Styela clava: one gene and its partners. The protein of the gene in region 4 binds, or shares a complex with, the protein of the main gene of each other region. Links are inferred from orthologs where the notes say so. Each region holds a gene or a part of one and is shown on either strand. Other genes may lie near its edges.

What was found.
Region 1: uncharacterized protein LOC120333756 (region 4) and nuclear pore complex protein Nup214-like share a complex: the UniProt entries of both Drosophila melanogaster proteins name them as parts of the nuclear pore complex. The link is inferred for Styela clava from reciprocal best matches to the Drosophila melanogaster genes Nup153 and Nup214.
Region 2: uncharacterized protein LOC120333756 (region 4) and nuclear pore complex protein Nup107-like share a complex: the UniProt entries of both Drosophila melanogaster proteins name them as parts of the nuclear pore complex. The link is inferred for Styela clava from reciprocal best matches to the Drosophila melanogaster genes Nup153 and Nup107.
Region 3: uncharacterized protein LOC120333756 (region 4) and nuclear pore complex protein Nup98-Nup96-like share a complex: the UniProt entries of both Drosophila melanogaster proteins name them as parts of the nuclear pore complex. The link is inferred for Styela clava from reciprocal best matches to the Drosophila melanogaster genes Nup153 and Nup98-96.

What each region holds. Positions count from the first base shown.
Region 1 is NC_135255.1:11,062,805-11,070,506, forward strand, and holds the start of nuclear pore complex protein Nup214-like, read left to right. Parts: upstream 1-4,695; 5' UTR 4,696-4,806; coding exon 4,807-4,854; intron 4,855-5,614; coding exon 5,615-5,761; intron 5,762-6,230; coding exon 6,231-6,428; intron 6,429-7,431; coding exon 7,432-7,544; intron 7,545-7,702. UniProt on the Drosophila melanogaster protein: Part of the nuclear pore complex. Serves as a docking site in the receptor-mediated import of substrates across the nuclear pore complex including emb, RanGAP and phosphorylated Mad. Protects mbo/Nup88 from proteasomal degradation at the nuclear pore.
Region 2 is NC_135258.1:21,257,824-21,265,837, reverse strand, and holds the start of nuclear pore complex protein Nup107-like, read left to right. Parts: upstream 1-5,011; 5' UTR 5,012-5,081; coding exon 5,082-5,119; intron 5,120-5,683; coding exon 5,684-5,787; intron 5,788-6,102; coding exon 6,103-6,195; intron 6,196-6,633; coding exon 6,634-6,710; intron 6,711-7,913; coding exon 7,914-8,014. Other genes in the region: uncharacterized protein LOC144427178, read left to right, coding at 3,988-4,737. UniProt on the Drosophila melanogaster protein: Plays a role in nuclear pore complex (NPC) assembly and maintenance. Required for nuclear import of Mad. Mediates the association between the nuclear pore complex and a subset of active chromatin regions adjacent to lamin-associated domains.
Region 3 is NC_135250.1:14,540,235-14,548,214, forward strand, and holds the start of nuclear pore complex protein Nup98-Nup96-like, read left to right. Parts: upstream 1-4,965; 5' UTR 4,966-5,173; coding exon 5,174-5,222; intron 5,223-5,902; coding exon 5,903-6,028; intron 6,029-6,921; coding exon 6,922-7,167; intron 7,168-7,921; coding exon 7,922-7,980. UniProt on the Drosophila melanogaster protein: Part of the nuclear pore complex (NPC). Required for MAD import as part of the Nup107-160 complex and required for nuclear export of Moe probably via its association with Rae1. Plays a role in nuclear mRNA export.
Region 4 is NC_135264.1:10,611,574-10,619,233, reverse strand, and holds the start of uncharacterized protein LOC120333756, read left to right. Parts: upstream 1-4,643; 5' UTR 4,644-4,745; coding exon 4,746-4,841; intron 4,842-5,102; coding exon 5,103-5,229; intron 5,230-5,487; coding exon 5,488-5,642; intron 5,643-6,627; coding exon 6,628-6,832; intron 6,833-7,408; coding exon 7,409-7,480; intron 7,481-7,660. UniProt on the Drosophila melanogaster protein: Component of the nuclear pore complex (NPC), a complex required for the trafficking across the nuclear envelope. Functions as a scaffolding element in the nuclear phase of the NPC.

The DNA of each region.
Region 1 (7,702 bases), on a different chromosome or scaffold from region 4:
CGTTTTTCAAAGCATTTTGGTGGTAAGATAAAGATGCTTTAAAATCGATCAGCTGCACTTGGAAGTCTTCGATGTCCATCCATTCAAATACAAATAAGTTTAAGTCTTCGGTGCACTCGGGCTTGATGAGAAAAGAAAACAATGAATCAAATTGCTTAAAATCTCGAAATCTATTGGAAAACTGAAACGTTAGAGCCCCCATGTACCTCAATTGTATATCAATTTCAATTATATCAGAGAGAGAGAGATTTATTATTTGTCAACCAGAAAAACAAGTATTGCAACAGTAATAAAAATATACAATAATAAAGATGTTCGGTATAGACCGGGAGGAGCGATAAGACCATACGGTCATCAGAGTCAGCTCCCCCCATATTCACTATTTTATATTATGTATAATATTTTTTGCTTCCAGAGGGATGTCACAGTAATATATAAGAAGACAAGTGAATGATAAATAAAAAAGTAAATATTTATAATAGCAGTGGCGGCGCGTGGTCATTTTGACAACCGGGGCAAGCTACTGCGGGACCAAGTCACCCCCATCTACGGGGACAGGATGAGCGCTGTAAGTTCTCTCATCATTTTATGAGTATAAAAACCATTCCATCGGTAACAACCAATCGGCAAAAGCGACAATTTTTAACGATAAGAAAGTGTCTTTAAAACCGGTCCAAGTCAAGGGATTAATAAATATAGACATAGTTTATTTTGAAACCTATTTCAAAAGGAAAGGCAATATTTACCCAGATAAATACAATGACATATTAACAGAAACTTCGGGAAAGCAGACAAAACCTAAAATAAGGTTTAAAACGTTACTATGGAGAAAGGAAAGTTAATGCAAAGATAAGGACATGCGTCGCTCACTCATAGATATATATGCTGCTAGACTTCTACTGCTTGAACATATATGCAACACGCCGCGATTTCTTGGAAGCAAAATGCTCAATAACGCGTTGATTAAAGTCATGCATCTCAGAAATAACGTCTCTGTGAATGGATAAACAGCCAAGGAATTTAATCTATCTTGCTTCATTGTGTTTCTGAGATACGTTTTAATACGCTTCAACGTGCTGAATGTTCGCTCTGCGTCGGCGGAAGAAATAGGCGTCGTCAAAATGATGTCCAGAAATTTTGCAGACGCCGCAAAGGTAGTTACTAGAGTGTTATCTATGAGGAACCCATAAAGCGCGCAAGTTGATGTGATGTTCAAAAAAGTTTGATTGGTGTATATACATCGCAATTCATTTACCAATTTACCCACGTTTATCATGGGGTAAAATTTGGAGACAGTAGCCAACAAATGGATGGGAAATTGACGTGCAAATTTTGAAAAATTTTTGGGGTTCATCAAAGAGAACGCGGCAAGGTGTTCAGTGCGCAGACGATCGCCTATTTGATTCACCAGAATGTCACAGCATTCCTTTGCAGACAAAATCAAACGCTGCGTTGTTTGCCCGCGGCGTAAAGAAGCACTCCATGTGTCGTCGTATTTTATTGTATCCCGGATACGAGATACAGCATCGCAGAAGTTTGAAATACACGACTGCACAGACGCTCCATCCATTAGCCTTGACTGCAATGCGCCGTATAATACATCCACGTGATAGAATATTGTGGAGAAAAAAGCGAGAAAAAATGAAAACTCACCATCTTCTAGCAGACGCTTTAGACCTGCCGCCTCCCTCACAGAGCGTTCGTCCCAAACCGGAGAGCTCTGAATGCCATTGAAACACTCAATGAGCTCAGACCTAATTTCGGACACGCCCTGCACCACGCGTGATTGGAAGTTCCAACGTGTTGGTGCACAAGCTGGGAGACGGCGGCTACATATCTGGCGAAGGAGGTCAGAGCGCTTCGGCGAAACGGAAAAAAAATGAAGAAAACCCCGAAACATTTGCAAAAAATATACGGACGAGAGGGGTATCAAGACACATATTTTTAATAACGAGGTTAAATTGGTGTGCATAACAATGTAAAAAATGCGCATGAGGAAAATCTTCTTTTATATAAACTTGAACACCATGTTTCGACCCACTCATGACTGCCGCGCCGTCATAAGTTTGAGCTATCAATTTTGACTTCGCGTTGTAAGGCTGTAACACTTCTTTCAGTACAGCCGATATCTCGCAAGCCGTGCCATCAACGATTGGTACAAAGCTGTGAAATCTCTCGGTAGGTTTACCATCTTTCGCAAACCGAAAAATCACAGCCAGTTGGGAAACGCACATGATGTCAGTTGTCTCGTCAGACTGAATCGAAAGGAACTGGCAATTCTCAATTTCCAGAGCCAAATGTTGTAAATAAATTTTTAAACATTGAGTCGAGCTTTTTCATTATTGGTCAGTCCCTTATCAATTTTTATAATCCATATTGCCCACATATAGAGGCAGATGTCCCAGATTCGTATGGACTCAACGTAGGAAGAGAATGTAGCATTTTTCATCAGTATATACAATAATAATGATTTGGGACGTATAGATGCAAGTTTAAACGCAGAAAATTGGATGCAGCAATTCATATCAACATATACAATAGTTATGATATGGGATATAAATCCTTTAGATTGGATTAATAATATAAATGCAAGTTTGGTTTAACATAGAAAATGAATGCAGCAATTCATATCAACAATGAACGCACGCCTTCAACCTACAGCATAAATTGTTTAATTTTATAGGCCAGAACTAAACAATAAATTCAGGAGAATAACAACTTGATGGTCGATTGAAAAGGCCTTCAGGTGTTTGAAGTATCGAAAAGTTGCATTCTGGATGTCCCGTGTTTAGACATCCAGTCTAGATACAAATCCTTTCTATGCCTCAAAAAGACCCAACACCGTTTGCCCTGGACCCGGCAGACGAAGATTGAGTTCGCTAAGATGCGTGGTGATATCCGCGAGAAACATTAGTTTTACAAGCCAGTTTTCGTCCTCCAGTTCAGGGTAAGCCTTTCCTTGCCCTATCAAAAAGGCTCTTGTCTCAACTCGACATTCGATAAACTTCACGAGAACCTCACCGAGACTTAACCATCTGACACTGCTTCAGTGTTGTTGATCTGATGCACATCATGGTATGCACATTCCATCTCTTCAAGAAAAAATCGAAACTGTCTGTGTGTTGTAGCAGAGCGGGCGACCCTTACCACGATCAATCAACGATGAGCCACGCTGCCGCGCTATGTCCTTACTAAAATGGATATGTCCTTTCTAAAATCGCTATCTTCCTACTAAAATGGCCATTTTCCTACTGAAATAGCGTTGCACCTACTAAAATGGCTATATCCGCTACTGGTATGCCTCTACTAAAATAGCCTTGTTCTTTCTAGACCGCAATTCCGGTTTGCTTCTATTAAAACAGGGATGTCCTTACTAAAAATGCACGTACGCTATGTTCTTTCTATATGAACGTTTGTTCCTTCTAAATTGCGATTCCGATATGTTCCTACTAAAATGGCTATGTACGCTATGTCACAACTAAAATGGCTATGTTCCCTCTAAATCTAAATTCACGACCCCGATATGTCCCTACTAAATTGGCTATGTTCTTTTCGAAAAAAAAAATCCGCCATGTCCCTACAAAAATGGCATTGTGCGCTATGTCACTACTAAAATAACGATTTCCGCCCTTTACTTACTAGAATGGCTATGTCCGCTATGTCCCTATGAAATGGCTTTGTTCCTTCTGAAATGGCGATCCCGATATGTTCCTAGTTCCTACTAAAATGTCCGCTATGTTCCTATTAAAGTGATAAGAAGAACCCAATATTATCATGTTATTGAATTTGTCAAGTGAGAAAGATAGTATCACACTTTTTATGAAATCTTTCTGGAAGACAAAATTGCTTCCGATTTGCGTGTTTTTTTATTTGAGGAATAATATGACCACGTCAATATGGAAGAATATTACCTTATCGTCTTATTGATTTGATTGTAACGATGTGATAACGTTAGTACTCATTTGATGTTACTTGATTAAGGCGATGAATAGTGTGGCATTGGAACTTGAAACCCTAGTAGATTGAAACATTACTTACATTTTGTGGAATGACGTTATGTCAATATTGTTGTTCATATACGTACTATTGTTAAATCTAATTTCGCAAACCGGTGAGGATCTGAAAACTTGACGTTTCTGGCGTTTGTTTTTCTTTCAACGTCGAACGAATGGCCGTCGTGACAACGAGACATTTGTACGATTGGACTTTCTAAAACGGTTCAATCGGTTGATCAAACATGGTCTAGCAATTGATGAATGATAAAAGCAATTGTATTACATCGTCAGTTGTAAATATTAATTTGATATTGCGCTAACCCGTAAAAATGAAAGTTCACTTGAGAATTCATCAACAACTCTAGCGCGGGGCGGGTGCGCGCCAACCCGAATTTTATGAGAGTCTTTCTACTTATCTTAGAATTGGATTGTACGTTAAAACGTTAAAAAAGCAGTGCCAAGATAACGATTTTTGTTGTTGTGGAATGTGGATTGACCCAGAAATCCTTGTACTCAAACTTGGTCCTGAATATGTGAAAGGCCGCGACCGTGACTTGTTATTTATTTACACGCCGTTGATAATGCCACGCAGTGTTCCCATTGCGCTGTTGTAATGCAACCTCACTGTTCGTAATGCGATGTTCCTAATGCGCTACTCGTATGCTCAATTCTGCAGTTCTAGAAGTTTGCACTCAGTGTTGTATTATTACCGGTACCGTTTGTTTATAATCTTAGTTAATATTTCCTTACATATGATATTCCAGTATTTTGAAACGCACTTAATTTGACAGAAACTTAACTTACTTTAAAAATGACTGAAGAGGAAGAAGAAAATTTCCCACCAGAAATACAGAGACTTGTAAGTAGATGCTTAACTGTTTATAAGATGATAGATTGAATAAGTCGATTTATATTCAATTGTAGTCTATAAGTTGCAATGTCATATTACTGTTCTGTAACATGGAAAACTTGATACAAAATGTTTAATGATCTGTGATAGTCTACTGAGCGATATCGTATGAAAACTTCAATTTTAATGACCCTCAAATGATCACTAATATACTGATATAGCGCTTTTTGAAACAAACTGAAGTCGCTGGTTTTATCGCCACAATTCAGTATGGCTCAGATTCCAAGAATAGCCCTCGCATTAAAAGACATGAATTATAACAGTGAGTGCAAACCCTTTATATTGCGAGACAGTCTGGGCCTTCATACAGTCATATCGCCACAACTCAACTGCTCAATAAACTAAAAGGAAGCGCAATCTAAAAACGTCACATTTGATTCCTCTGAAAAAAATAATCCGATTCGATTCACCAAAGGAAAAATTTTTTGACCGAGGCGTGCCAAAAGCCCTCTTTTTAGCGACAAATGGAGAGTTTGTTTTATTGAACCAAAGTGTTGGGGCATCTTGAAATCAGAGAACTGTGCTCCTTGGTACCTCTGGTCTTTGTATCTCCATTTCTTGTAGGCCTAGTTTTATTGTTTTGTTTTTTATGCCAGAGCGATTAAAATTGAATTGAATATATCAAACTATTAAATGACGGTAGGCCTATAGTTTCTCTCAATAATATATAATTGAGATAACTTTTTTATTGCACAAATTATCATTTCAGCCAACTGAATTTTCATTTCGTGAACTGACAAACTTGAAAGCTTTTGTATCAGAAAGCCAACCTGAATATGCCACAACACGCACTGGCCTTCTTGCTGTTGCTAACATCTATGGATATGTCTTTATTGGAATGCCTGATGGCTTGAAGGTAGCTCATGTTGATTTCTGTGATGAATGATAAACATTGATGAAATAGTAAAATTTATTTATCTATGGAATATGTTTGCTTTTGTATCGGACTCAATTAAATGCTTGTAACGCACCTATGTTTATGCTGTCAATATTGGATAAATACCATAGTAAATTCCTCTGTATTATATTCTGGACTGTTAAGTTTAAACCAAACTTCAAACTCTTGGACATTAAAAAAGGAATTAGGATGTCAAAAGGACTTCAGCTTTCGATTCCAATATGAAGGAAAATTTGTCTCCCCTTGATGAGAAAAAATTTGGCTTATGCAAGCTTTCTTGTATTATATGTCGAGACGACTCAACTCCAGATTCCGACTCAAGGGAGGTATAAAATTAGACCCAAGCTCAGACTCCAATATCAATAAAAGCATCCCAAGCCGCCTGAATTCACAACCCTAAAATAGCTAAATGTTATTCACTATTTAGGTGCTGACCTCTGCTGACTTGCTTGAAGCTGGAAAGAAGAATTTGAATGTAATTGACTCAGCTGTTGCGACAATTGATCTGAGAAATCCACCAAACTGGATTGGAATAAACTCTGATAATCTCACTCTCTCTGTGTGCTGTAAAACTAGTAAAGGACCACAGATATTATTTTTTGATATCAGGAATATTATCAACAAGGTAAAATGAAATAAAGAAAATACTCTGATAGCATTGTTGTACATTAATATACAATGCAAAACAAAATGATATTATATTTTGATATCAGGAATATTATAAAGGCAAAACATAAATCAAGAAAAAACTTAGATGTTCATTTGTATACAAAAATGATGGTCGTATCGGAATATGGCAATACATTGCCCTCGTGGTTGAAACGTTAGACTCAACTGTGTTGGCATCGCAGATTACACATATCAGGTTTAATTTCTGAGCTTCCCACCACTCCCCAGTGTAATATAGTAGGGCCCACGATGCCGACTCGAAAACATTTCGGATCCTTCCAAATGAAACTTCTTGCATATCGTGAGATATCAGTGGCCGTTTGTATATTACCTTGTTCAGAGGGAAAAATGTGAATCAGCAGTCTTTTTAAAATTCATATTCTGGTAGATGCTAATTTGTTAATGTCTAGTTACCAAAGTGGTGTTAGGAGAGATTTTGTGCAGAAGAGATATTCTCTTAACGAATTTATATAAATACTTTTGCTTTTTAATATAAATTTATATTATGATTGTTATTTCTAAAGTAGCAGGCATTCACTCATTAGAATTTACCTTATTTTTTTAATTTTTATGATAAAATGTACTCAAAGCTCAGAAGTAATAAAGACACATCAGCAAAGTTAACTGAAATGCTGAGGGCTACTGAAAAAATATAGAATAATGGTGGTGCTTATGATCAAGAAAATGTTGATTGACATAAGACTTGAAGTACTTAGTGGTCAATACAATCAGTAATACAGCTATGAGATAATGTTTTTTACATAAAGGAAGTTCTTACTACATACTGATCTTGTATGCACCACCGATCAGAGTTATGCGAGAATAAGCCGACCCCTTTTTTCAGCAACTTTTGAGTTTCAAACTCTGATTATATGCGAGGATATATGGTAAATAAATTTAATATTGTCCATATTCTGGGCTTACACCGAATTACAGTTCTCATTTTCTATCTCTTACAGTCAAAACCTACCAAGACTCCATTTCATAGTATATATTTGAACAAGGATCCAAACTCATATGTGGTTAGTATGCAATGGAATCCTTCACCTGTTTGGCCAAATCTCCTTGCTATGTAAGTAATGTAATATTTTTATTTATTCTGTTTTGTTAAAAAACATAATTTGAGCATATATTTTGACCAGTCTATTTGATTATTATGTTATTTAAATCACACTTTCATATTAATTATAATTTTAGATTGTTTATAATTTTTTAATCAACAATGTCGTG
Region 2 (8,014 bases), on a different chromosome or scaffold from region 4:
ACACCACTGATCTATTCTAGACAATTCAAGCATTGCTTTGGGAAATAATATCACTTCAATTAAATTTGCCGTATTAAATACGAAATCGTTGCTATCATAAAGGTAAACCAATTCAGCCACTGGGAATATATTGGCCTTCACAAAGCAATGGGGGCAAAATTGAGAGTTCATGGGCTATGAACTTTTGTTCTTTTCTTTGTCTTGAATTTTTTATACTCCACAGCCCCTATTAATTTTTTTTTAAATTTCAATTACCATGTGATGGTCATACATATCTTTAACTTGTATTTTCTGTAATGATGTATTATCTCAATGTGTCAAACTCTTAATTAGTCTGCATATTTTGCTTCCAGATGACATAAATGTATTGTCTTGTTCATTACCTCAGCTTGGAGTATTGACAAGAAAAAGGTGCCAGTAAATTCTTTGTTATAATCAGAATTCACAATTAATAGGAATTATAAACAGCCACCAATCAATGAGAATTACATGCGAAATTCCTCACAATAAATTTGTCTAATAATGTCTAATAAATTCACCTACTAAAGCAAGTTCGATAGGTGCAAACTTTGTGTTATGGAATTGTATCACAGCATCGTTAAGAGAAGTAAAAACAGTTTTGCTGTTTTGTATGACACCCTCTTTAAATGAAATTTCAATGTTTAAGCGCAAACTTTAAAATTACTAACTTTGAACTTTGTCATTATCTGCAAAATGTCCCACACAAATCTTTACTCTATCGCGTTTGTAATCTTCTCTGATAAAAAAAAGTCTATGATGTCCAGAATTACTCTTTACAGCTTGTATGTCATTCCAGCTTTCCAAGTGAGCAAAACTTCTTAGATATAGAGATTATTTTCTTTCGTTACAGGCGCAAAAAGGCAGGTACTAAACGTAAAGAGGACGCCGGTTAGCAAAAGCAAGCGGAAAACGGTCGCGAAAGGCGACGAGAAATATGTGCATTGGAGCGTATCATGAAATACAATCTTTCGCATGTAGTCTTATGGAGTGACGTCAGAGTTGCCTATCATGTTGTTTAATGTCATTGCTCAGACAGATTTTCAAGCGTGGTCGTAAACATTACCTCGTTTTTGAACTCTCATCGTTGGTTTTCAGTTTTGTTTCGGAAACTTAAATATAAATCAGATAATTCAATGATCACTCTGTCTTCCTAGGAGTTTTAATTTAATTGCAGTATGGAAAAATTAGTGTAGAAATAGCTGTGAAAGACTAGGCTAAATTTCTTCACCGGTACTTTTAAAAAACGGATTGTTGTATGCGATGAATCGTAATGATGGGTTGAAAAACACACCCCATTTTACAGGCGTCAACTCGCAGAAGCACTCTTAAAATAGCCCCGAAAATTTTGCAATGGTAAAGTACAGGAAGAATTTTTCGGTGATCAAAGGTCGGGGGAAGGTCCATATCTTGAGCGCGACAAATTGACCGTTAGGTGAAGCCAAGGGTGAAGCTATGATAAAACAAGGGAAATCCCCACTGTTTTCGCGCGCGTGTGGGTCACTGGAATGGACGTGGCATCTGGTTACCGTTTCCCTAGAAAACTTTCCCTCATTCAGGTTTTACAGTTGTCCCTTTCGAGCTGAAGTAATGATACTGGACATGTATTGAGGTAGTGACTGAGTCAACACGATATTAATGATTCAAAACTTCATGCTGCTTTTCAAACATGTAGCCTATTTATTTATCTGTCTTGCACATTTGATAGTTTTTTGGTGATTTTTTGCATTTCTGACAGCAAGCGATACCGGTATCTCCCATAAATTTTGACTTGTATATTTCTATGCTATATAGGAATCTCAGACTCAAAATTTACAGAATTCGAGAGAGATCAGCTTTATTTATATATATTTACTGCAAGGCTAATCCCAGAATCCTGGCGATTTCTCAGCTACCATAATCGTATAAGAACATTTGAAACATTTATCAGAAACGGAGGAGGTGGTTGGGATTCTATTACATTTAGTTTTATCTACTTGAATCTTGCTGTCTTATTTCAAGCGCAACTCTTATTTTACTCCATGTAAATTATTCACTGATTCAAACAATTATTTGGCTTTTATCATTTTAAATTGAGTTATAAGCACTGCCCGATTTTGAATCGTGTCCATATTTTTTGTATACTCGTATTATTCCTATTTTATTTTTTGGTGGGTGGGCTCGTACTTGTACGTTTTTTAACTTTATTTTAAGTTATGCTCGCCTTCCAGGTATCTCTGTATTTGTTGTCTGTTTACTTTTTTGTATTGTCCCGTTTTAGTCAGAGAGCCGAAATAAAATGATTGATTGATTGATTCTAGTGATAAACTCTCACTTCATCTTCATAATCATTTTTTTTTTTTTTGCAATTATTTTATTGTTATGCTGATTATGGAGTTGAAATGAAGGGTCTAGTATAGTTTAATACCACAAATACTTCCGGTGGACGTATTATAACGAATTTTGCATATGTTATTCCTAACCCCCACCTGACTATGCCATCCAAAAATTACGTCACTATCACGCCATAGGGCCTGACAAAGTAAAATTCCCATCGCCCGAAATGGCATCAGCGCCAACTCGCCAACGCTGACAATCTCTCTCCTATCGTGATCGTTGTGACGAGAAACGAGAGAAATGGTTGCTCGATTTTGGATGATTGTCTGCGCGCTTTGGACAACCATCCGCATACTTTGGTGGGCCTTATTACAGCACTGTGACGTCGGAATGACGTATTTTTTCAATGGCGTAGTCAGGTGGGGGTTAGGATTGACATATGCAAAAATTGTTGAGCCAGGCCAAGTAGAAGTACATGTGGTACTGAACTATACCAGACCCGAAATACCTATACTTATCTGATTGCTTTTAGTTTAATGCACTACTGACCACTGTTCATAGTTTTCATTAATTTCCGGATATTGATTTAGACTACTTTTCAACTTAATTCATAGTTAGCTAAGCTTTACTCGCCAAACTCACCCAAGTAGGCCTATTTGTTTGTAGATTTTGTATTTCTGTTCTGAATATTCTAATATTGCAGTAGTCATTGATTGATTTATTCTGATCCAGTCCGGATTTTATGGCGTTTTCCATGAGAAATACAGAAATTGGGCATGCAATCAGTGACTAGTTTCAGAGTTTAAGAACCACACCACTCTCCGACTTTCAGTACCCATCGTCTGTAATATACACTGCTGACAAATTCGAATAGGTCCTATTATAAACTGCCTAATTATTGATAACACGTATCTTTCATCATCTTCCCACAAGCTCACCAAAACCCATGTCAATTAACAACTATACGAGTCTATCCTCCAAACACAAGTTTTTTTGTAACCTGTATCTCGATACTCACAATTGTACATTAACACAGAACTTTCTGATGAACTTGGTCGCTGATTAATTGATCTTTGACCTTTGCGAATGCAATGTCGCAGCCGGTTTTCGAAGCTTGAACCTCTGTCGGCCAAAGCAGTAGTCCAGTCCTTTTTACAAATAAGCCTACTCTTTCAGTCTCAGATGTTCAGCGTGTGTGGTCTCTGATTGTAAATGTTAAACTATTTTTTTATATCCAACATCTGAACATAGGCTATGCAAAAAGCTGTAATGAACATTGAAAGTAGGTAAATTCAAACATGTTTACTTGACTAAACCCAAATTCTAGTTTTTTATTACAGATGCACTAATAAAAACTATTTCTGCATCATGCTTCAGATAAAATACTTCCAAACCAGCATATTTTAATTTTGTAAATAGCTGAAAATGAATAAAAAACATGAAAAGTTTCTCTTGATATAGTTCTATCATTTTTTGTTTGATTATTAGACTCATGGTTTTTGATTCTCACTATTTGAATATTCATGATCTTGGTATGGTGGTAATTTTTAAAACAATTTCGCTTTGATCATCCTGATCTTCTTTCGTTTCATATGCTCAGTTATAGTGTCTATAAATTTGTACTTCATAACCATAAACCAATCATAATAAATCATGTCTGATGTACAAAGCGAAAATGTAACTGCCACCATTGCTCCTGAGAAGAAAGTGGATGAACATGTTGAAGAAAAAGTTGAGAAGACGGAGGAACTGACTGCAGATTCTCAAAGTGATGGGGAAGAAGAGGAATTTGCAGAAACTAACTTTGAAGCAGACGATAATTCTGAAGATTTTATTCCTAATGAAGAAGTTGACGAAAATGAGGAAGAAGATTCTTGCTCAAGTGGAGAAGAAGAAGTTGGGGTCGATGTAAAATTAATTGAACTCGGAGGTCAGAAGTTCCTCCAACTAAAATATGAGAATGATGAACAGCGGCGAAAGGAATTACAAGCTAAAATGAAAGCAGAAGATAGTGAAAATGAAGAAGAAGAAGAAGTCAGTAATGAAAAGCAGGAGGACAAAGATTCTGATAAAAAAGAAGGTAAAGATTCTTTCAAATACTACAGAACAGCTACAATATTAGATGAAGATATGGATAAGGAATATAAATCTGACGAAGATGAATATTTCGACCCCATGGAAGGGGGTACCCTCACTGATATTGAGTATTCCAGTGGAGATGAGAGAGACACTGAAAGTGAACCGGAAACTGAAACATTAGAAGGAAAACACAAGAAAACTGGTGAAGCATTGACGTGTATTAAAATGATTGAACAACTTCAAATTCCACCTCGTGACCAGACCTGTTTACCAACAGAATTTGCTAGTGCTCAAGTTTCTGATCAGCCAATGGAATGCTCATAAGTTGTATGTGTACTGAGAATCAAAAAAATTATTAGAACTTAAAAGGTGTTACCCCTGACTCTTGGACAACATTGGACACAACTGATTATTTCATATCATTTTGTTGCTAAGGTCAATTCTATATGTTTTGTACTTGAATATTTGGCCACTTTCTTTCTGGTATTTTGATATGCCCAGTTGTTGTTCCATCACTGCTTTATTTCTCTCACTGCCGATTTTCATTCTAAGACTGTGCCTTTTTCACTATCGTAAGTTTTTCATTATTTTCGGTTATTTCAGAACATAGATTTAAATATTAATTGTTATTGGGACACTTCAAAATTCTTCAAACATTTTTTCAAAACATGGATGAAAGGAATGGATCATATATTGGTAGTCGTAGGTAAGCGAATAAATTGTTGCCAATGTTTTTTTCACACCTATATTATTTTTATTACTTCAATAATAAAATTTACTTCAATGTTGGTGATTGTTCAGTTTTTACTTATCGATCTTAAGATCGTTAAGTATGTTGATAGGTATTTGTCTGTCCGTATGTTTGTTTGTCTGTTAGATGAACGCGATATCTCACGAAGGCGAGGTTGAATCTGCTCCAAATTGCATGTGCATTCATCATACCTCGGACCAGAAGCCTATTGATTTTGGATGAATTATGTCCTATAATTAGCGAGTTATTAATTAATTAGTGATGGGACACGCTGTGTCACTATAGAGTCGTGAATCGAAACCGCATTTTCGATTGATAAGTCTTCGGTCTCCGACCGATATTCTCGTTTGTGCATTAAGTGCTCTGTTGGACAGACATGCCAGCAAGATATAATAGCCCTTTTTTGATACGTCTTCCAAGTAATTTCCTAAAATTGAAAATAAGTTTCTTCCTAAGGTGTTCAATATTCTGTGATAGTCTCGGTATCCTAAATGCATATGCTTATCTCTTATGTTTCAGAACTCGAGGTTTGAACGCAAGTGGATTGATTAATTCACCATCAACAATGAGAGACGCAAGAAGTATGCAAAGAAGATCAAGGATGACACCACAACAATATCAAAGTATTTTCAGAATATAATTTTTTAAAACTTGATTATGAGGTATTCCTCTTCACTCCCCTCTATATCAGATTTTTTGTCATCCTTTGGTAAAAAATTAAGCAGCACTAGGTGTATTACTGAACCAAAGTAATAAATGCAAATCAGATATAACAAGTATCTTCAGATATACAGTCAACATTAGTTTCTTTCATGATTTGTTGTGGACTGGGTGGCTATCCCATTTTTGGTGGATAAAAGAGGAAAACTTTGGAGTGTGCTTACTTGGCATATAAATGCTTGCTTAATTATAAACTTAATACAAGTTTTAACTTTCAGGTCTTCAACAACTGGATGAGAGTATAGTTCAAGAGAATCCTGCGTTTCTTGAAGCAATTACTCCAATTTCTGGACCTAGCTCAAATAGCCGAGGTATTTCTATGAGATGAATTGAATTGAATAATATTAAATTATTCTTCAGGTCGCTACTTCTATATTGGCATTTTATAATTTGCTAGACTTTGTTATTAAGTTTTGGAAACCATACACATTGTAACTAGCCACAAAATTATGCCAAATTATAATCTCTAATCTACTTGTTTCTAAGGGTATAATCATGATAAGGGTTGTGTGCACATTTACATAGAATTATCTTAAAAAAATTTGTTTATCATCTATCATCAATTTGCAAGCTATTCTATGTGATTCAAGAACATGTTGCACATTAGCACTCTTACATTATGGAGATACTAATCTATTAGCTCAATAAAAGTAGGATAAGTAAGTAATCAGTTTCACAGAAACCCGAAGAATAGAACTTTTGTTGTCTTGAATCTAGTTCACTTAAAAATAAAGTTTGAATGCTTGCAGGAATGACAAATTATGATTTTACCAGTCAGCAATTTCCTAGAACAATGATGGCCAGACAAGAAGCAGAATATTCCATGGTGAGATTATGTGTATGTGACTTTCTAAAGCATATCGACGCATGAAATCCAAATTGGGCTAAGTCCATTTTTCTAGTTTTGAGAAAAACGTTTTTTTTTTTGTTTCATTTTTTTATTTCTCTAATACCTTACATTGAGGATGTCTAGTTTTTATGGTCCACCAAAGTTACAATGAAGGCCATATTTAGATGGTATAAAAAAATTTGTGCTCCGCCCCAATTTTTTTTGGGGTTTTTTTTTGGACTTAACCCTTTTTGGCTCTCAATTTTCTGGACCAAAAACAATTTTATTGGACTTAGGGCCCCTTTATTATGTTATTATAGAGGCTGGTATGGACTTAGCGCTTTGTATTATATTTTTTGAGAGGAGCTATGTCCAAAAAACGGACTTAGCGCTTTGTATTATATTTTTTGAGAGGAGCTATGTCCAAAAAACGGACTTAGCCCCAACTTACAATGCAGTTATCCAGAGCTAAGTCCACTATAGTAGACACAGGTCTGTTTAGTTCTCAAATGCCCTAAAAAAAGCAGGGTTATGTCCATAGCTGTCTTGAGATCTAGAGCACCTAGAGATAAGGCAAATAGACCAAAATGTAGAGCTAAGTCCAGGAAAATCAGCAATTGAAAAATGTCATTTTTTGGAAAAGTGGACTTAGCACTGTTTGGTTTTGAGGTGTCGATATTTTTGCGTATCTGTTTGTAAATTATACCAAACTTTTCCAACTCATTTTCTTCTAATATTTATTGATTAAACCAAATCCCATCTTGGCTGAGAAGTGCAAACTGAGTGAAATATATATTTTTTTCAATTGCTGTAGTATATCATACTAATTTGTCTAAAGTAAATTCGGCATTTTACAGTTCACAAATTGTGAGTAGTTTGGTCTTCAAAATTTACCAGTAAATATTTTTGTTATGTTGACATATGTATATGCAAGAACCTAATTAACCCAATCGTGTAATTTGGTACTATCATTAATAATAATATTTGTTGTTATGCTTCTTTCAATTGAAAACTAATATAAATCAGTTAATTTGAAATGTTCCCCTTTGGAATAAATTCTTTCTTTTGTTATTTGGTTAAATTTATAGCATTTTGACACATGGCTAATAGTCTTGTACAAGATTTCTGTTATATTTCATCATCTGTAGTTTCTGTACAGAAAAATTCTGAAGAATATTAATATTCAAGAGTTATTTTTAGCTTGACATTTCTGATGAAAATTTCGAACTTGATGCAACGAGAAATCTTCTTGAACCTAAAACTCCATCTGGCTTCACTCAACATATGACAACATTACAGTG
Region 3 (7,980 bases), on a different chromosome or scaffold from region 4:
CCTTGTTTTTCCGAAAATAAGACTTTTCTCCAAGTGCAGTTTTAAGTATTCTATGGCGTCTGCAGCAGCCGCAAAACCATGGCGGTATTTCCATACCATGGCCGCTACGGCCGAACCTATGGCGACTGACTTTTTAGCTGCCACAAACCAATGTCGAGCTGCCGTTACCGCGGCAGCAAATTGAAAACCAATGGCAGGTAAAATTTTGCTGCCGTAACCGCGGCAGGTGGGTCGTAAGGACAGGGCTGTCCCTTATGGTGACAAATATTGGGTAAGTTGGAACGTTTTTCTTATGGATACAGTCTTGATGGATTTGGGGTTAGGGTTAGGGTTTAAGTAAATATAATTCCGCATGATCAATTAGAATTTGGTACATTAGTTTGTGAATATACCGTTAATACTGATTACTGAATACAGAATAGCGCTATAAAACCATGGCAAGAGCTGCCGCGGTTCGTTTGTGGCAGGAGCTGCCATGGAGTGGTAAGAACTGCGCCTCCTTTTCTCCCCGATAAATAACTCTGTGGCTTGGGGTTTTATTCAAAATAACTGCATTTAAAACGTGTTGGAGAGATTTTTGGCTATCGACAAGGTAAAAGCCCCTATTATCTGCTTATAAGTCTCCGTACCGCTAATATCTGAATATTGATTATGTGGTAGGTCAGGTATTAATATAAATTTTTGTGGAATGTTTTCACTCAAAAGTGCACCCATATCTAGAATTAGATTTATTACTGAAAATGACTTCTGTGTAGTTTGAGGTTTGGGGTCGCGACCCCTGGTTTGGGAACCCCTGGTATAGTGTATTTGTATATCATAAATAGTAGATAAATAATAATTGGAAAACTTGTTTTCACATGCTTTATCTTAGCAATCCGCTATTTCATATTTGTACATAGAAATAGAAAGTAGATATATCTGTATATTCATAAGCGAACCACTGTGCTGTTCGATTCTGTAATCCATTTGCACTGGTCTGCAAAGCCAAATCTGCTTTTTTTGGTTTTGCGAGTCAAATACGATAACCAGTACTTTTCAATAATGTATGTCTGGGGTCTCTACTTTGGAGGGCCACATTATGTCAGCGCAACTTCGCAGTGATGTAATTTTCGAGTGACGTAGTCAGTACTGCAGTTGAAGGTTGGCAATGACTAGGGCTGTCCAAAATCGAATATTTTTTTGATTCGAATCGAATATTTTTGTCGAATTGAACCGAATAATTGAATATTATTGCGCAGTCCTAAATCTGTTTCTATTATTCAATAAAAACTCCCTCTCGATATTGTGATAACTTATGTCCAGTTAAATCTAATTTACTGCTGATATTTTGCATAACTATGTTTTTAGAGTTATAAAAGGAGATCCCCTGCCTCTATAAACTGGTCCAAATAGAGGTCTCCAAAATCAGGATTTTGAAAACTGTTGAGTGTTAAGGCTGAACTCTCAATACCTTATTTACTCAATTCTAATGGATTCAGTTTTAACAGAACATGCAAATCCTGTAGATGCTATTTTAATCCTATTATCATTACTCTTATGTTTTTTTTTGTGTGTGTTATTTCCTGCAAAATGATAACAACCATTAATATAGATAATACTGTTGTTCAAGAAATTCGAAGTTGCATATAAGGAGATCACAAATTCAGAGCTAGTTTGATGACTATAACATTGTTACTGTACAACAGCCATCAAAATGCAAGAGTTCAATGTCTTGGTAAATGGATGGAAAATACATATACAAATTATAAAGTATTGCCATCATGAGAAATTACACATTCTGTTTCTAAAAGGTATTGCCATCAAAGATGGCCAATACCGAATAGTTCACTATTTCGAATACATTCGAAATTATTTTTTTCGAATATGAAATTTCGAATACTTCGAAAATAAAATCCACTAATTGAAGCTTATCTAAATGTATGTAGGAATTTCCATACAATAAGCAATGGAATAACTGCTATCAACAAGTTACAACCTAGCTATATATATTACCAGGCATTTCATATTTGCAGATTATTGCAGTATATATTTTATATATATACCATGAATCATGTTAACAGAATTAAATTAATACGACAATAGTGGTATCGATGATGGATTTGAATATTTGCGCAACACAAAATCATCCTAGTAAAACGCTCATACTTTTAAATACCAACCATTATCCAAATTATTTGCCAAAAAGCGGGATAAAGTATGAGTTATTTTTCCGACTGGTGACAATTTTTCGTGAGTACAAAAATACGAATCAAAAATTAATTATATTCAGGAACTTTACCACACATTTTAAGTTCGCAGATCACCGTTGTATGTTCGAGTAATAATACTTTTATTATTTCATAAATATGAAAATAGGAATCAAAAACTATTTATATTCGGGTAGTTTACCACACATTCTAAGTCCACAGATCGCCGTTGTATTTTGTAAATACGATAATGGGAATCAAAAATTAATATTAATCGCGAGTTTGCCACACAATTTATGTCCACAGATGGCAGAGATATTGTGCCGAATACAATTAGTTTTTGATAACGAAAAAATTGTCACAAGTCGGAAAAAGAATTTTATACTTTATCCCGCTCTTGGGAACTAATTTGGATAATGGCTGCCATTGGTTTGTATTTAAAAGGTATGCATATTTTTACCAGGATGATTTTGTGCTGCGCAAAATATTCGAATCAATGGCCGATACCACTATTCAAAATGCCTTACCGTGTTAATTTAATTCTATCATCATAACTCAAAAGTTGACAAATCGGGCAGTTTACCACACATTTTAAGGCCACAGATCGCCGTTGCATTTTACAATTATATATAATAGTTTTATTATTTTCTAAATACGAATCCGAAATTGATTATAATTGGGCAGTTTACCACGTATTTCATGTCCACAAATACCAGTGGTATTTGGTACTAATACTTTCATTATTTTATCAATATAAAAATAGAAATCAATATTTAATAATATCGGTCAGTTTACCACACATTTTATGTCCACAGATTGTCGATACAACCATGTGTTACGATAAGCAGAATTAAATTAATACGACATGACATTTTAAATGCTGGTACCAGTCATGGATTGGATTATTTTGCGCAACAAAGAATCATCCTGGTAAAAGATCGATACTTTTAACCATCGTTATCAGAATTATTTGCCAGAAATTATTTTCTAATGAATCGACTTGTTTTTCCAACTTGTCACAATTTATTGGATATCGTAACAATGACGGCTATAAATACCGTATTTCCCGGCTAAATAAGTCCACTTGGCAAATAGGACGATGTCTATTTTTAACACTCAAAAAATGGGTTTTTCCATATAGGCCTCCAATAAGACGGGTAGAAAAATTGTGTCCCTGTTGTTCAGTTGTGCTTATACGCGCTAACAATTTTATATGTTCAGAACCAGATCATGTTAGTTCGGTAGAATCATACTCACAGAATTAACTATTTTTAACAATTGAGCGGTAAATTTAAGTTGTAAAGCGTCAATCATTTTGGACAACCTATTAACCCGAAAGTTGAAATAATTTTGAAATGTGATAAGTACTACACTGTACGTCCACGGGTTATTTCACAGCTGTGTTTTCCTGTCCCTGTCGTGTTCTGCTGAATCGGCAAAACGAAAGGGTCACAAATCACTTTATCTCGGTGGCCGTGTTTCTCTTTAAAGTAACGATAACCGGTCTGCGATTAAATATCATGTAATACGGTAATTGTCAATTTTTCGAGGTAATGGAAATGAATTTGTAAATTGAAAGCCTCGTAGACGAATGTCGGCAATGTCCACCCACGCAAACGTGCAAATGTGTCGCAACACTTTGCGACGTACGGTCGCACAGAATCCAAATAATCAAAGTGAGGATTCTATTTCATCGTCATTACAATACGTGAGACAGCTTAAAAAGTCGTTTGAAGATTCCCGTGAAACGAAACACCACGTTTACGGCGAAAAGTGGCTATTATTCGGAATTATTCGAAAATGAGCTGAAAAGGTATTCGAATACTTTGATATTCGAATACATTCGAATATTCGATTCGTTTTGGACAACCCTGTTTTGCCATCATAAAGAACCCGCAATACCTGTTTCAGCTTTAAGTCACTTGTACCATGTTCCTATGATTAATAACTGGACAGCTGCAAATTGATTCTATTTATAGAACTATCTTTTTTCTATCTGATACTTATATTGCCTTTTTCACCCTATGTACTCTCTATCAAAATCGTCATGAATGATAATAACATTTAGGTTATGACCATGCTTGAAATAACTAATCACATGCCACTGGGCATTAGGAGAGACACATTTTTATCGTAATATGACATGTAAGAAATATCGGGAAACCAATTATGCCAGGGGCGAAGGTTGTCTAAGCTCGAAGCGCCGCTGCTTGAACGATGAAAAATTTTATGTACCTAATTTTTAGCGATTTGAAAATTAGCCGTAAAACGATTCGAATAATTTGCGATTCGATTTCGAATATTCGGTTCGCATGGACAGCCCCAGCAATGACATATGCAAAAAATTGATGAGCCAGGCCTACTTAGGTACTTGTGGGCATATACTTCAGGAGACTACAGGGGTGGTGACTCCACTACGACCCATGGGCCGGGGCCACGGCCCATCTAATTGAGCCACATGAGCCGTGGCCCATCAAGCTATGGGCCGCGGCCCCGTCAGGAAAAATTCAATTATCTTACCAAAATTTTCAATTTTTACAAAATTGTCAATATTCGAACCAAAAAATAAACTCCTGTAGTATGTGTACCAGGTTAGAGTTAGGGCATAATTTTGTTCAGATTTGTTACATTATAGTTCTATTATGAGTTTGGGGACTGTCTGTGTTAGCCAAGTGAATAGTTTACCTTTACACAACTTGATGGGCCGTGGCCCATAGCCTGATGGGCCGTGGCCCCGGCCCATGGGCCGAAGAGGAGTCACCACTTCCACTCTCAGGAGAACCTATTTCTGTATTAAAGTATTACTGTATTAGGTGATAACAATATCAAAATATTTTAATCAAAACTGTGAAAGAAAAAAGTTCAATAGTTTGAGATTGAAAAGTCTGGAAGTCTCTGCCCGTTCTTGTGTTTCTCCACGTTTTTTAGTGTGACAGTTCAAGTGAACAATAATTTCTTCACAAGCCATTAATCATATAAATGTAGAGATGTTTGGTCAGAAGTCAGGATTCGGATCTTCAGGTTTTGGCTCAGGAGGTAAGTTAATTATGTCACAAATCCACAGGTTTATTGATATAATTACCTGCTCGCACAATAGACTATGCTCGAAGAGCAGTGCACTGCTTGTGTAGCTACTACCCATTCCTGTATTCTATATGGCATTTCAATAACATCCTTAGATGGTATCTAATAATATAGCCATATTTAAGTACACTGATTTCAGCTCTCTAATTACAAGAATAGCCCCCATAATGAAAGACATCAAATATAGCAGTAAGTGCAATTCCTGCCTTTGCGAGACAGTTTTTGGCCTCCCTATCGGCAAAAATGCGCAAACCGGCACTGTTCTATAAACTAAAAACAAGTGCAATCGAAAAACATTATCATTAAATTCTTCAAAAAAAATTTTACAGTAGCATTAGAGAATTCTTATGCAAAAAAAACGCATTTCGTGGCAATGGCGACTATAATTAATTAAGATAATTATCAGATAAACATGGCATATCTGCCATTGTGCCAGACTCTTTGTTTTATTGAAGCAAATGTTAGGACACCTTGGAATCAGAAAACTGTGCCCTACTCTATTTATACCTCAGGATTCAAAACTCATAGTTCCTAACAGCTGATATTTGGTTATTATGCTTTCAAATTATTAAGCATGTGCATTACCATGCTGTCTTGCCCAGATTATTTATTGCAGTATATTTCGAATTTAGGGTTTGGAACCAATAATTCAGGTTTTGGAAGTACAAGCACATCTGGAGGGCTATTTGGAAATAAATCAACTACATCAGGTGGCTTGTTTGGCACAAGCACGCCAGCATTTGGGGCAAATAAAACCGGTATAAAATTTTTTACTGTATTATGATACACTTCAAAAAGTCTAATAATTTTGTTGAGCATGCTGTCTCAAACTAAGCACACTCAAGTGCTGTAATGGCAGCCATTTATTATATCTTCAATCAATGTATAAAACTATAGGACCATTTTCGATCACTTCTTTTTATAATTGCTTGAGCGCATGAATTTACCAGTATTGTTTTGATCTGTTTATATGTATCTTGATTCACTGTATCACATTGTCACCAATGCCAAATCAATGTAGTTTTCATGGTTTTTGACCCTTCTCGTCACCTTATCACATTACAAATACACACATTATCTATGTACCAGATTGAATTGGTCCTTATTAGCTTGAGTATTTTAAAATTAAACAACAGCCCGAAAGTTCATTACATTCGCGGATTTTGTGTGTTTATTTCTTGCCCAAGCCTTGTTCAACAAAGTTTGTGTTTTTTTGTAAATGCGTGTTGGTGAGCGGGCACATGATACTCATCTTATTTTAAACTTTTTTAAAGGTTTTGCTCGCTCTCCGGAATTCTTCATTTTTTATTCGTTTGTATTGTCAGATTGTGGAGTTTTCGAAATAAAACTATCTATCTGTCTTCTTTATTAGTCTATTGTATTCGACTAATGAAATTGGTAAAATGCTAATGTATCGCCTATTCCTCGAAATTCTTATTAAAGAAACTTTGTGAAGTGATAATTTGACAATAGTTAGGAGGATATCAGCTTTTTCCATAAAGTTTTTCCATAAAATATTTTTCATACTTTGGCAAAGCATTATTATGTTATACATATTAGAGAGGTGCTGGTTATTAAAGAGGGGGGAAAAGTGATCATAACACAGACACCTCAGCATTCGGGAATAATCAATCTGTTTCTATTTCACCAGGCTTCACTTTTGGAGGAGCTAGTCAGTCTTCTACAAGTAGTGGGTTGTTTGGAACTCCAACATCTAGCAAACCTGGAGGTTTGTTTGGAACACCGGCAGCTACAGGTGGAACAAGTGCATTTGGTGGTAATTCTGCTTTTGGAAGTACAAGTTCAGCTTTCGGCCAGCAAAAAACTGGAGGATTGTTTGGTAGCACAGGTGGAACATCCTCATTTGGATCCACAACTACTGGAGGGGGCCTTTTTGGTACGTTATCCATAATACTTGTAAAGTTTTATATGTAAATGATAATTTTAACACATGAATGACTGTGAGTCTGTCACCTCATCTTGTACTTGTAGATCAAATTTTAAATTTGACTTTGACTTGAAGTTCCTGTTTCATCTAGTTCAGTGGTTCCCAACCGCCGGTGCTTTTTTGCCAGTTTAAACCAGAAAACGGTCAAAAACAGTATTTCAGCAAGATATGAACTTGTTGCGACCCTGCAGGTGGTCATGTGACACGCAAAAAAAAAAGGCCACAAAGATCTTTTCCAGTATTTTAAGCCTGGTGCAAAGTTACCGACAACTTTGTCATTGTAATGTAAATTCATTTTGTTTGAGGCGTCGATCAACCGCAGAACTAGGTATTGCAGAAACTTCTTTGAGCCCAGCAGCAAAGTGCTCACTAGAGTTAATTGCGTTTGTACATGATTAAGCATGTACTTGTTCTTTTTATATGTGATGTTTTATAAGTGCCTTCCTCAGGCATAATGGATGCCCAGCACTGCATTTCATTACTCAAATATATGATTTTATTTTATGTTTCACCCATTTCAATTTTTGGGCCGCATATTATTTGATAGTTTTTCTTCGTGTGAAATGTTTTTAAGTGTGACTATTTTGTCTAGAAGCATATTGATTTTAATTTTACTGGCCCGCCAGGGTAGAACTGTTAGGAACCACTGATCTAGTTATCTTAATCTTATGTGAAACTCAAACTGTTTGTTTTTGGTTGATAGGATTTTCATCTGCTCAACAGCAAAATGGCACAGGAGCGGTTAAGTTCAACCCTCCCACA
Region 4 (7,660 bases):
CATTTTCTATCCTGTATTTCCAGGCAGTAAATTCTCGGTTAAATGTGATTCAAGCGTATTCTTTTCACTAATTAGGTTTGCCTGTACCTTCAAGATCATCACTAACCTGTTAAACACACAAGGAATAAGACTAATCCACTTCTCAAAACGAATTTGAGTGTGGCTCCATGATACTGCACTGCTCAAGTCTGTGGCTCCATTTTCTATCCAGTATTTCCAGGCAATAAATTCTCGGTTAAATGTGATTCAAGCGTATTATTTTCACTAATAAGGTTTGTCTGTACCTTCAAGATCATTACTAACCTGTTGAACACACAAAAAATAGGACTAATCCACTTTTCATACCAGAATTTGAGTGTGGCTCCGTATTACTGCATAGCACCATGGCCTGGCCTGGCCCCGATTTCTCCGTGGCCCGGCCTCAATTTCTCTGTGGCCTGGCCCAAATTTCTCCGTGGCCTGGCCCCAATTTCTCCGTGGCCTGGCCCCATTTCAGTGGCCTGGCCCCATTTCAGTGGCCTGGCCCCAAAGCCACAAAAAAGTGATCACTCCCTCTCAAATTTTAACACAATCAGATACTACGAACAAATCTAGTTGTTACTCGTTTAAAAAATATTGTTTTAGTGGTCATCTCAAACTATTTTATCTCATGTTAATTTCCTTCCAAAGAATTCAATGACCTAACTGAACTTTGGACAGCCAAAATCAGTAATTCACTTCACAGCGAGTCATAAACAAAATTTCAAAATCAGAAACACATCTTTAAACATTCAAAATTAAGGATGAAGATAATGCTATGTGAAAAAATTGACAGATGTCTAGTTGCTATGTTAATTCTCATCTTGATTTACCAATTTAAAACGATTTTTCCAACGCATATAGATAGGCCTACCGCTTTATAGAATACTGTCTTTCACTTGAAACCCATTATCATATAACCATAGAATAAAAGACGCAGACAAACAATTATTGTAAAAAATGGTGATTCTGATATCTGGAGATGAAACACAATATTGCTATTCAGTCATGGATTAAAAAATTGTCAGTGTGAGCAAGCAAAGAATTGCACAAAAGGCGCAATAAATTACATAATATAATATTGGCAGATTTAAAAATGAAATGAGGTGATCCTACTTGTAAATTAACACTGGTAGTTAATACAAGATAGTCAATCATTAAATCGATACTGCTATGCTTAATATTGGCAAGAATATTAGAAGCAACAAAAATATTGATACGGATTGACCATATTTGGAAAGTTTTCGTTCCTTTGATGTTAATTGTGCATTGCACTACTTCAACTGCAGTTATAATAAAATATGATACTAGACAAAATGGTAAGCAGACTAGAATGATTGCAAAACATGACCGTATGATAACTTACATATGATGAATGTTTGAAATTAATTTCACTAAAAATACTGATTCACACACAATTATTACTGTTTAATTTCGGCAAGTTACAACGCCTGAAAACCTTGGAAAGTCTTTGAAATATTATTCACATTTGCCAAATCAAAACACATAACCAAGTATTAGAATTTTTGTGCAGCATTGGGACAATTTACACACACAATATCATAATAAAATGTACAAATTTAGAGATAAGTTTGAATTGTTTTGAGTCGCAAAATTTGATGTAAAATGCAGGGCATATCATGGTATTGAATCTGTTTGCACAAGCAGAGGATTGTGAGGATATCAATGTAGTAGGTGCCTGCTTTCTTCTGGCAGTTGGGTGGAAACCGAACCCTACCTACTCGCTAAAAACATCAAAAGTCACAACTTAGCTTTGGAAGCTAATGGTGGCTATATCCACCTCCACCACCGTGGTATCCACCCCCTCCACCACCATATCCGCCTCTTCCACCACCATACCCGCCACCGCCGCCTCCTCCATAACCACTGCGATATCCGCCACCACCACCATCATATCTATCACCCCCACCATATCCATCGTTGCGGCCACCTCCATACCCACGATCGTTGTTTCTACCTCCTCCACCGTAGCCACCACCGCCCCGTCTATCATCACCATAGTCGCCTTTGTCCTTGTTTTCCAATGCCCATTTCAAGTCTGGTCTCACAGACTTCGCCTTCAGCCCCCTCTCTTCGCTGTAATATTCAACTTCGCATGGCTGGTCTTGTATAAGCGTCCTTCGGCCTTTCATATCAATTGTGCTATGGTGAACGAAAACATCCGTATTATTTTCTTGATCTATACATATAAAACCGTATCCTTTGTCGTCATTAAAGAATCTAACTACTCCCTGCGCGGTTTTGGCATCACCAGACATATTTTTAGATAAAAAAAAGCGGATCAATCGAAGAATGGACCGATTGACGGAAAAGAGTTTTTGCGTTCTATTTGTCACGTGGCTGTTTTTAAAGTCGTACTAAAACCCGGAAAAAAAAGATGTTGAAATTATTTCAAATTTAATTAGTTTTAATTAGATACCTCGTTAAGATTTTTTAATGAAAATAAAATGATAATGTAAATTTAATAGTATACAAAAGAGAAATACCAATAAGACAATCCAATCGAATTGCGGACCGATAATTTCAGCCTAGCTACCAGTCCAGTTTGGATATAAAAAGAGTCCACTACAGTAGTTCTTTTAGACGTAGAAACTTAAATTTTTTTAGTTTTTTATTACTTTTATAAAACAAAAACAATATGTTTTCATATCGCAAGATTTCATTTTGCGATAAAACGTCAGACGATAGAAGGTCATGGATCATCACGTGATTAATCTTAACCAATGAAATGGCGGGCTATACCTTGTGCCATATTCTTGAGATCGGGCCGTCCCTGTGTGTGGTAGATGCCTTCTCGTGGTACTGTGGTACGAAACGCTTTCTCAATTTACTATTATCTTTACTGAATATGACAGGTTGTAAACGAGTTATGAATTGATTGAAAAACGTTGAATATTATTATCTTATGTAACATTAGAACATTTGTGTAGTTAACTATATTTTTCACTACTAAGGATTTAGGATCGGATTTACTTTAAACTGTTGGAAAGAAAAAATAGACTGACTAGTACAGTGTAGTATGATGTAAGGTGCGGTGCCTGTATTATAGACGCCACAGAGCTTGTAAAAATCCCCACTAAAATCCTATTCCTCCAGCTGATCAGTATTCAATTGTATGAAAACTTCAGTCAGTCACTGATTACAGGATTACCTACTGAATTCACACAGTCTGGCAGTGCAGTAACTTCTGAAAAATTAGGTCTGGAAGAGGATATATAAAGTTATTGTTTGTTTCAAAATACTTAACTTAGATATATTATTTTTGGTTTCGATTTTTGTTTGTTTGCCTGTTTAATTTTGTTTTTGTTCGCTCAATGCTGTTTAATATTTTGAATATATGTATGTGTGTTGAATGTGGGTAAACTGGCGCATGTATATTTACATGTATTAAACCTTTATAAAGGTTTTGCCAGTTTACCCGATTTTCTCAATCTTCTGTGTGTTCATTGTTTATGTTTTGTGTATGCTTTTTTTGCGGGAAAATCAAAATATACTTATACTTATTATCGAAACAAGCATGGTGCCCGACGCCTTCGTTTAAGAGACAAAAACAGTGTTTCATTGAACCAAATGCCGGGACATCTCGGAATTGGAGAATTGTGCCCTACTGCAGTACTGTATTTGGATATACAAAACAAATGCTCCATTTTTCAAGAAAATGATAATAGGGTGTAACATGAGTGAAAATCTCAAAAAGCAAGTGTTTGTCTGTAAGGCACGGGTCTTCTATTCCAAGATGTGTCTCAGTAAAACAAGCACTCTATTCTGCTATTTGTCGCTGGAACAAGGGCACCGGTTCTCACTACTTACTGAATAGAGCGCGAAACAGCGCAGAAGAGAGGGAAAGAGCCCAGGAGAGAGGGAAAGAGCGCAGGAGAGATGGGAACATTTTTCTTTCATTATTTATTAACAGTCGTGAAATTTTAAACAATTTGATGGGAAACACTATATAGTGGTAGGGAATGATCACGAGTTTATATCAGTAATCTTCAACATCTTTAAATAACCAAACATGACGCACCCTAACCTGGTACACATACTGTGTTCAGGTTGTGCGTCATCTTGATGCACATACTTCATGACGCACCCTAACCTGGTACACATACTGTGTATACTCGTGATCATTCCCTACTACTGTATGCTGCTTCCCATCAAATTGTTTAAAATTTCATAGACACTAATAAATAACAAAAGAAAAATGTTTCCATCTCTTCTGCGCTGTTTCGCGCTCTTTCCCTCTCTTCTGCGCTCTATTCAGTAAGTAGTGAGACCGAAGGGCATCTGGCATGGCGGCAGATCATGCCCTTTTTGTCTCGATAATAATGTATTTTCTTTCGGAGAATATGATCATTTTTCCCCGAGGAATCCAATGGTGACATTTTAGATTGCACTTTTTAGTTTATTGCTCAGTGCTGATTTGTCCCGATATGGAGCCCCAAACTATTTCGTAAATGAGGGGGTTGCATTCACTGTTATAATCGATGTCTGCTATTCTCAGGATCGGAGAATTGTGCAGTACTGGATTCGAGTCGTTTCACTACCCTTTGCAAAATATAAATTATGACAAATTCAAATCTTATTATCTACTATATATTTCCAGGTTCATATTATTATAAATTATTGTTTATCCTAGCATTTGTGGCGATAAATATTATCGACATTGTAACTGATTTGTAGCTAAGTACTTTGTTTAGCTTAGCTGCACGATGGCGGATATTCCCAACACAGGGGGTGGTAAGATCCGTTCAAGACGTGCAGCTTCGTCCAGGAAACCATACAGCCGAGCTTCATCTCAGAAAAAGGTTATTTAACTCCTGTTTGTTTGTACAGGCATTCTAGACCTTTAAAATTAATTGAGTTGCGAAAAGCTTTATAATAATAAGAAAATCAATTATTGCAAACTCCTTCAAAATAAATTTTTGTACATTTTAAATACTAGTTTATACTGGGAGTTTCAATATGGCATACTATAATATGTTCGTGCGACGACTTTGTCTAGGGTGCATATAAAATAAATTCTTTGAAGGTTAGTAACTTAATCGTATCATGTTCTCTCTTTCTAGACTTTATTCAGTCGTGTTACGGATACATTCAAAAATCTTTTGAATCCTTTTACGCCAAAATGGCTCACGAATCGAATGAACCATGAAACAGATGATCAAGGATCTCCTTCAACAAGGCAAAATCAAGGTATGAAAAAATCGTTCTAATGTGACTATTTTCGTTCCCAATTCTGGTGATCTGACTATTCATGGAATGTACATTTTCGAGAAATAGGTTGATTTTACTTTAGTCAAAAATGGATTATCTGAAGATGGCCCTTATTTGATTGTGGATAGATAATAGATGGCTCTTTTTGCCTTATGATTCATTTCAGATTCTTGGCTGAAAATTTTCCTTTCAACCATTCAATATTTTGCCCTTTTCTCACATTTTTTTATATTACAGTTGATCGTGATGATCGTCCTTCGACCTCCTCTAATCACCAGGAAACACACAGTTGTACCAATTCCAATCGGGGATCACCTATACAACCACGACCACCTTTGTTCTCTTCGAAAATATCATCGTCGTCTGTGCAGTGTTTTGTAACTCCACCTGACGTAAGTGCCGAAGTTTTAATTAATTACTAAGCATATAGGCATATATTTTGTGATTAACTGCGCCGAAATGAAACAGCCGTAGCCACATGTCTTATGGGTTACTTACTACACCAGTGGTTTCCAAATTGTGTGTTATGGCACACTGTTGCTGTTTGAGATAATTTTGAGTTTCTCACAAAATATAAATCCATTTTTTGAAAAAATTCGACCAATCAAATTATACATTGGTGTACCATAAAATGTATGTGATTCATACTGTGTGTCCTTTGTATTTTTCATGCTTGATTTTCTAATTTTGGTTAGGTCATATAATTCATTTTAATGCTGAATCATTTCAGTATGGTTTCCTTTATAATATTCAGGAAATACCGTAAATAAAGAACATAATCCCAATATGCTAATGCTAAAAATACTATACATATTATGGAAAAATGAAAAAATTCTAAATTTATCATATTTACAAGAATGTGATACTATTATTTTGATTAAAAATTTTCCATCATTGTCATTACACTAAATTGTGTCTATCTGTATGGCATTTTGGTACAATGATCTGTTTTTTGAGAACTGGTCAATCTATTATTCTAGCCTAGCTCGGTCTATTACTAAAAATCTGAGTGAATTTGGAGTTACACGAAACTGACAAGGATCTTTCCTAATCTGGTAGTTCTTTATTTTTGAATGGCTGCTTATACAGAACTCTGTTAGAGTGGAACGTGTAAAAATAATGATTTGGTATGATACAAATCGTATAATCCTACTTTTTGGATAGGGATATTGCTGCCCAGCTCAAATTAATTTTGCCTATGATGATCAGCCTACATTGTTTGATACTCGTATTTAGTTTTTAAATACGAGTATAATGATTTTTTATTTAACGTAATATCTGAGGCAATAATTTCGGTTTAGTTTCTTTTTTTTTAGAATTCTGCACTCGCGATATACGCCATTGCTTTCTTATTATCTAATTCACTTCATTTCACAGACGCCGCCTGTTTCTCAGCAAAATCTCACTCCCTCAGCATCTACCTCACTCTCGCGGAGTGGCGGTAGTAGAAAAGCAGGAAAAGAGGACCTTTTAAAGCATCTTAACACCATGAGCAGCAAACGAGTGAAAATTGATTCAGAATCTCCAATCGAAAGCGAATCTTCTTTTTTGAGAAAAGAAATGAAATATCTTTCTGCTAATGGTATATATGAATTTTTTTTTTTTTTTTTTATGAAATTTTCAAATTATTATTGCAGATATATCAGGCCTGGAGAATCCTGTACTTTTTCCATGCCTGATATTATTACCCAAAAAAGACATTTTTTTAAGAATTAATTTAATAGTTTTCAACCTTTTTCCCCAAAATTTTCAGTAATATCATGATTTGTCAATTTTTTTATGGAATGATTTTTTTTTATAAAACCGTATCATTTGGTTTAGGCTCGTAATACAAAACAGAATTCTGAAATCCTAACGATATAATCAAGAGTATCTCTATCATTTCTGCAGCGAACAGTTTTTACTGGAAACTAATTTTGAATAATGGAAACTGTCACTATTATAATATTTTACCAATGTATTTTCAATCATTCAATTTAGCCTGTATACAGGCTTGAAACTTGCTAGAATTTAATAGGCTCGGCTAAGATAGACGGATAGTCAATGCTGAAACTTACAAACGATTGCACTTCGTAGCATGGAATGTTATGTTGACGAAAACCTTATAAAATCATTTTATTATAGAATTCACATTGACCAAATTTTCTTAATTTTCCAGACAATGCATCAGTGGCCTCATCGAGTGGTTGTTCTTCATCAATGCAAGCTAGTCAAAGAACAAACACTTCAGGTACATTGAGTTTCATTAGCGGGAAATAAGTGTATATAATAGATCGTTTTGCAAAAAAAAAATTTATTTTTTCAAAACTAATGGGCCGATTTGTTTTAAATTTTCAGTAGTAGAAAGAAGGTGATTGAAGCCTCTAGAAATTTTTTTTTTCTCAATTTTCTTCTGTATTCGGAAATACCA